2 linked regions of the Neurospora crassa OR74A genome follow. The protein of the gene in region 2 purifies or fractionates together with the protein of the main gene of each other region. This does not show direct contact. Links are inferred from orthologs where the notes say so. Each region holds a gene or a part of one and is shown on either strand. Other genes may lie near its edges.

The links.
Region 1: the proteins of NCU05261 (region 2) and NCU06086 purify together in Saccharomyces cerevisiae (affinity purification with mass spectrometry; 4 studies listed by BioGRID, with this or other methods). This does not show direct contact. The link is inferred for Neurospora crassa OR74A from reciprocal best matches to the Saccharomyces cerevisiae genes PIM1 and MAM33.

Annotation. Positions count from the first base shown.
Region 1 is NC_026507.1:1,859,720-1,862,896, reverse strand, and holds NCU06086 (regulatory protein suaprga1), read right to left. Parts: upstream 1,807-3,177; 5' UTR 1,604-1,806; coding exon 1,254-1,603; intron 1,194-1,253; coding exon 719-1,193; 3' UTR 501-718; downstream 1-500. Other genes in the region: NCU17215 (hypothetical protein), read right to left, coding at 2,425-3,051. UniProt on the Saccharomyces cerevisiae protein: Not known. Binds to the sorting sequence of cytochrome b2.
Region 2 is NC_026504.1:5,554,279-5,558,450, reverse strand, and holds the start of NCU05261 (ATP-dependent protease La), read right to left. Parts: upstream 2,801-4,172; 5' UTR 2,285-2,800; coding exon 1-2,284. Other genes in the region: NCU05262 (hypothetical protein), read left to right, coding at 3,401-3,973; NCU16891 (hypothetical protein), read right to left, coding at 4,024-4,172. UniProt on the Saccharomyces cerevisiae protein: ATP-dependent serine protease that mediates the selective degradation of misfolded, unassembled or oxidatively damaged polypeptides as well as certain short-lived regulatory proteins in the mitochondrial matrix.

The DNA.
Region 1 (3,177 bases), on a different chromosome or scaffold from region 2:
GGTGCTATTTAGAGGCGTTTGTAAAGGTTAGGTATTGAGTAGCGGGTTCTGACTGCGTGTCTGCAGTTTGATGGTGTTCTGAGGCAAGATGTTCACCACAATGCGAATATTGAGTTGCAGTGACTGCGTGAATTAAGGACAAAATGTACGAATGAAATGAATGTAACCGGAATCCTCGGAAACGAACGCAAAAATTGATTAGAAAGATGTCATATCACAAGCACATTCTGACAAAGTATAATGTTTCTGCAACGGAAAAAAGGTAAGACGGAGAAAGGAGATGGACAAAGTTGAAGTTCGATTCAGCTGGGCTAAAAGATCAGTGACCCCAGTTCAACCAATGGCATGACCGCTGGCTTCCAAGGCGAGCAAGGGTAGCATGGCATAGAACGAGAATGGGCAAGATTTGCCATACCACCTCATGACTTGGACCCTTTGCGGTCATATCTCTGGTGCTGTATCAACTTAAAAACTGTCTTGTCCACTTGGACGTTGGTCCTATTACAGCATCTTCATCCTTACACAACCCGTTCCCATCGGCTTCTGTTGCATTATACAAATTTTGGTATGGAGTCGTGATATCAAACGTGGGATATAATTACAGGTACATGTCATACATCAGCTGCGGAATCAAAAAGCCGTCCCGCAGCCTCGAATCCTCTCGCCTTTTCCTTGTTGGATTTTCCATTCCTCGTGACAGTATCTCATCTCTCCCCATTTATTGGGCATCGACGAAGCCCTTGAGGTTGTTGAGCCACCTGAGGTACTCCTTCTGCTCCTTCATGTCAAGGTAGTCGGGAACGAAGAGGGCAAGGGCCTGGTTGATGCCACGGTCCTCGAGGTAGCGCTCCATGAGGACCTGGAGATCCTCGTCGAGGGTACCGAAGGGAGGGCCAGGGTAGACAGCCTGGGCAGCGTGCTGGGTCTCGGCGCTCTCACCGTGAGCGAGCTTGGCGTCGTGGTAGTAGAACATGTTGTCGACAACAATGGAGCCGTCCTGGGCAACGGCGTCGATGTTGAGGGCACCCTTGCTGGGCTTCTCAATGACGATGTTGAGACGGACGGGAGCGCCGCCGTCCTCACCCATGTCCTCCTCGTTCTGGGCACCCTCCTCGTCACCGAGAGCCGTGTCCTCGTCGAACATGCCAGGCTCGTAGTTCTGGAGGTCGGCGATGGAAAAGGAGATGGTGATCCTGGCGTACCTTGGTCAGCGCATGGTTCTTGATCGAAGTCATGTTGGGGGTTCAACTTACTGCTCGTTGCCAAAGGTGCGCTTCAGGACAACGTCCTCCTTGCCGGGGGTATCGACAAGCTCAAAGGGGCCGTTCTCAAGGAAATCCTTGACGGTGGCGGGAACGGGCTCGTTGGAGGCAATGTCCTGCTCATAGCCAATCTCGGTGGAGAGCTTCTCGGAGAGCTCAGAGTCGATCTCGGTGGCGGCAGCGCGGAAGACGGTGGTCGAGAAAGCCTTCTGGGGGAGCTGGGTCCTGAGAACGTTGCTGGTAGCGCGGACGGTGGCGCGGCCGAGGGTGATGGGAGAAGCAGAGACGGCACGGAGAGCACGGGGCGCAGTGGTGCGCGCGACAGCACGAAGAGACATCATCTTGACGGATTTGGTGGGGGGTAGTTTGTTGACTGTAGATTGGAAATTCGGGTCCGATCGTGTTGTTGCGCGTTGGGACAGAGGAGTGTTGTCGAGGACGGAAGCTGGGGTAAGTGAGTGGACGAAGACTGGAGCGAGACGAAAAGATGGGTAACGTGAGTGATGGAGAAATTCGATGACAATCCACGATGGATGGTTTTGATCATTGGATCCGCTCGCTGAAAGCTCCACGAACCTGTGCCGAGAGCAGCTGAGTGGTCCCGTCTCCAGAAATCTTCAAAAGCTCTGCAGTAGCTAGCGCAAAAAAATGCCGAGCACAGACCATCCAATGAGGCCCCGGCTGCGGGGACAAGAGGCAAGAACCCCATCGATAAAGCGTAGCGCCAGCCGATAAGCTCCCACCTAGCGGAAGTTCCCCCACAATGACGCTTTGGACCCACTAAAATTTTGTCAGTCTTCAGTTGAGGTTCAGGTGCGCGTAACAACGGGCGGCCTACCTCCAGCTCCATCTTCGACTACTCACATCGCGCCCAGAGGATAATTGTTCATCAATAGCTTATTTTAGTCGACTATATACGGAACTGATGGTCTGCTTTTACGATTTGTTTCCTCAACGCCATACCACTTAACACCTTTATAAGTTCTAGCTATTCTACCAACAAGTAAAGGGTCCAGCATTCTTCTGTTCCAGGGTCCAGATCGGCTCGACTGGATCCACACTTAACAAACATGGCTGCCAGGAACCGAGTGCCTTGGATGCCTCGGATCGATACGACAAATGACATGACCAATGCCAGCAATACCCACGCGAACAATCTGATCTATATGAACCGCCCATCATATCTCCCCAAGTCTGCCCTCATCTTCCCCATCCTCCTCAACCTCCTTTCGAGATCCTGTTGTTGTCCCTGTTGCTGTTGCTCTGATACCGGTAATGCTGCCGGTCCAGGCACGTACTCCCTCCCTTGTCCTTGCAACATCATCAATGTCGTCGTCGTCGTCGTCGTCTGTCCTGATACCGAGATCCGTCTCTGCTGCTGCCCCCTGTCATAAACACCACCACTGCCACCACCCCCTCCAACTCCATGGTGATAGTTGTTATTGTTGTTGTATCCATACATGGAGTTCACACCTTGCGCTCCAATGGGTACACTAACACTAACACTGCTCCCCCTCCTCCTTGGTCCTCCGCCTGTGCTGCCACTCGAGGTGCTACTCCCACTGCCACTACTGCTTCGAGACCGGGATGCCGGGAGGGTTGCTTCGTCCTGGCATTGCCAGCACTTGTACCCCGTCTGATCTCGTTGGCCGGAAACCCCGGATAGGCAGGAGCCAAAGATGCCGCTGCCGCTGTTCCTGGCTACGGAACAGAGTTGTTCTGAAATGAGGACTGTGTCCTCGCTGCTGCACCGGCGGCACACGCGGATGTGGGTCTTGTAGGTGCACATTTGCTTCGTCTCTGGTCTTGGGTGCCGTAGTGTGTGCCCGGTCAAGTCAACCAAGATGATGATGGTCGAGAAGATGTGTGAGATTGCGAATGCTAATCAACGGTGAGATGGATGATGGGAGATAGG
Region 2 (4,172 bases):
GTTGCACGTCAACGCCCTTGAGACCAGCCATCTCCTGGGCCTGAGGAGCAAGGTACTTTTCGGCAATGGCCATCTTCTCATCTGCGACGTATCCGGAAAGTCGGATGACCTCCATACGGTCGAGAAGGGGCCGTGGGATGGTGTCAGTCAGGTTAGCAGTGCAGACGAAAAGCACCTTGGACAGATCTACAGGGACATCTAGATAGTGGTCCAGGAAAGAGCCGTTTTGCTCGGGGTCCAAGAGCTCGAGAAGTGCAGACGAGGGATCTCCCTGGTAGCCGCGGCCAATCTTGTCGATTTCGTCAATCAAGATCAAGGGGTTCTCGGTCTTGCACTTCTTGAGGGCCTGGATGACACGGCCGGGAAGGGCACCCACGTATGTCCGGCGGTGACCCTTGATTTCGGCAACGTCGGTAAGACCTCCCACACTGAAGCGGTAGTATTGGCGACCAAGTGCGCGAGCAATGGACTTGCCAATCGAAGTCTTGCCGACACCCGGAGGACCGACGAAGCAGAGAATCTTACCCTCGACGGTGCCGCGTAGCTTTCCAACGGCAATGAACTCCAAAATACGATCCTTGACGTCCTTGAGACCATAGTGATCCTCATCCAGAACCTTGACAGCATTCAGAATGTCAAAGTTCTCGGCACTGCTCTGGCCCCAAGGAATGTTGGTGAGCCAGTCCAAGTAGTTGCGCGTGACATTGAACTCGGAAGCGGCAGGCTCCAGGTGGGCGAGCTTGTTCAGCTCGTCATCAAACACCTTGCGCACGGCCTCAGGCATGGCCAGCTTGTCGGCGAGCTCTTTGAACTTTTCGACGAGCTTGTCCTTGCCGTCAGACTCGATACCAAGCTCGCGCCTGATACCCTTCATCTGCTCCATGAGCCAGTATTCACGCTGGCGTTTGGTGATCTTCTGCTCTACGTCCTTGGTAATCTTGGACTGAAGCTGGGCGTTGACGTGCTCCTTCTTGAGGACAAGAAGAGCCTTGTGCATTCTTTCTTCCACGTTCAGGCTAGAAAGAACCTCCTGAAGCTCAGCAGGCTCACCGGCGCTGACAGCAGCGGCAAAATCCGCAAGCTTGGCTGGCTCAGCCATGACATTACCGGTCGATTGGCTCATGCTAAAGGTGGAAATCTGATCCCGGAAGAGACTGTTCATGCTAGCGACCTCCTTGAAGACGTTTACGATCTCGTTCGTAACGGCGCGTATAACCTGGCTCTTGGGGTCGTAGGGTTCTTCCGTCAAGTTCTCTACATTAACAAGACTGACCGGATACTTTTTAAGGAACGATGTCGGCTCGTAGGGCTTCTGGCTTGGTTCGGGCCTAGGTGTCACGGCGCTTTCCTCAAAGCTCGCCACCACGTCACCCTTTTGCTCAGACTCGTCGGTCACCTTGGGGATCGGCTCAGGTACCGGCTCAGGGGCAGCACCCTCCTTCGCACCATCGATCGAGGCAGCCTCAGGCGAGCCGGGAGGAATGAGCTCCGACAGCTTGATTCTCCGGTGGGGGTAAAGAATCGCGGTGAGACTAGCACCCTCGCCGTTCTGGTTGTTCATGGGGAAAGCGCTGGTGATCTGCGCAAAAACACCGACGTCATAGACATCGTCGCGGTTCCGAATCACATCGTCGTCGGCGTTCTCGTCCTTGAACAAGAACGCTCCCACATATGGCTGTCCGCGCTTGATCATTTCTGTAATAGCCGCAGCGACATTGGGGTCCTTGATGGTAATGGCCTTGTAGAAACCGGGGAAGAGCGGTCGCTTCGCTATAGGAATCGCCATGACCTGGGGGTAGATTTCCGGTACGACGGGCTTCGCCAATGCCTTATCACCAGGCTTGCGGCCTCGCTTGCCACCATCTCCGGAGCCACCGTCTGCGCCTGAGCCCGAGCCGGCAGATGAACCGCCAGCAGCGCCAGCCTTTCCATCTTCTGGCGCCGGCGGCGGGGCATCCGAGGTTGAAGACTTGGACTTGGCCTGTTTCGACTCAGCCTCCTTTGCTTCGGCCTCGGCGTGCTCAACGTTTGCCTTGCGCTCCTCCTCTGATAGTGGCTCGATCGAGTTGTCGAAAAAGCCCTTGTCGTTCTTCTTCCCCAGAGCAGTGTACGTTGAGAAACTCGAGAGGTTCGTCGGTCTTTCGTGTCGGGGCCGGGTCACGGCATGTTGGCCAGCCGCGGCAACCGGGCGTATCGAAGAAGTGGTTGAGGTGAAAGACCTAATCGAATGCGCAAGCGATGTCCTCGACGCGAGGATGCGCGGGATGCGCTGTCGGGACAGCATCGTGGATACAGGCAGTGACGAGCGGGCCTGGGCAAGAGGATATCGTAGAGGTCGAGATTCGTGAGGAGGATTGTCGTCTTTTCTTAGAAGAGAGCGGACCCGAAATCGGACCAAAGGCGACAGTGGACGGGAGCTGCGGTCGTAGGGGAGGGGAGGGGAGGGGAGGGGAGAATGGATGTGGTCGGGTGTGTGTGTTGAGAGTGGGACGGCGGGAGAGGTCGCGGCGGGGGAGACGGAGATGCGGCGAAGCGGCGGGAAAAAAAAAAGTTTACAGTTTGTTAAAATAGTAGTATACAGGCAAAGATAAGAAGATGGGTTCTATTCAGGGTGTGTGACGACGACGACGACGACGACGACTCCAAGGAACCCAAGGCCCATGACTCTCGCGCTCTCTACAGTACGTGACAAATGAGGTGTATGAATAATCAACTCGACGGGGCGGAAGGCGAACAGCGACCGACTCGAGCTCCCTCGGTCTTCGGCCGGCGGTAGAAGATGGAGGAATTACTGTCTTTTACTACTTACCAAGTCTAGGTACCGTCCCGGTTGCGTCACGGTACAAAAGGTACGTACCTCCAGCCCACTACATATGGTAACAGCTCATCCGCCGCTCTCCAGCTCTCAGACGGCGGGACAGGACTGCCCTGGAGCTGAGGTCAAGTGGAATTCCATCATCGCCGTTGTGAAGTTTAGCGCCTAGACTAGTCGCCAAGGCGCTTGACCAATTGCAGTATAGTGTAGATCGTTACCTCCAAGTCTCCAACTCATAGCACCACTCCGCCGCCTGGAACTGCTGCCGGACGGGAGAGCTTACGGCGAGCAGAGCATCCATTAGCAGCACCGATCCGGAGCGGGGCATCGGCAGGCACTGTTCGCTAGTACATAGTATCAGACAGGGCAGCTCTCCGCAGGGGCAGCAACCCGCATATCAAAACGCCCAAGTGGAAGTCCAAGGTCATGACTGCGGGCTCTTTCAACTTACATTAACGACACTTTACTTGTACCACACACAGTCTTCGTCCATCAGCCATACAAGTATAACATCAACCCATCAGACAACATCCTTTCACACACATCTTGACACCACTTCGGTACGCTAGTCATATATCACCCAACATGGCACCACCTTCATCAGACGACATCACCTCGGGAGTCTCCAAAATGTCACCCAAGAACGCCAAGGCTAAGAAGCCAGAGCCTGTTGCCGACAGTTGGGAAGACGAAGATGTCAGTTCCGAGTCCGAGCCCGAGGCCAAGACCGAGCCCAAGTCTGAGCGTGAGCGTAGCTTTGGTGCGCAGCCGGAATCATGGGAGGACGACAACAACAGTGATGATGAGCAGGGAGCGCCCTCTCCCCCGCCTTCACGCAACAACCAAAAAAAGCCGGAGCCATCTATTACTACCTCTACTTCCATTCCACCATTTCTCGACTACACTGGGCCAGGCGGCAGCGCCAGCAACACTTCCTCTTCCTCAGAGTACAAGAGACCCGAGAAGACGGACGCCGTAGCCCGCCGGATGATTGCCGGTGCTCTGGGGCTGAAGGCACCCAAGCTGACCGAGGAGCAAAAGGCTTACGACCGGGCCTTGCGCGAGAAGGAGCGCAAGAGGAAGGAGGAGGAGAGAGAGCGGAAGAAGAAGGCAGAGGAGGAGGCCTTGAGAGCCAAGCAGGCGATTTGGGAAGACTAGGAGCTTTCCAGCGTATCATCTCTCACAGTCTCAATGTGTGTCATCAACCATCAAGCGGAATCATCTTTATTATCTATACTTTGCGAGGCTTCATCTTGCTCAACATCGCTCGACGCCGGCGGCGGCAACCCTTCCCTCCTGATCAACGGGAGGTGTTTCCCCTTGTGCATCAACACCAACTGCTCCCCACCCTCGGGAG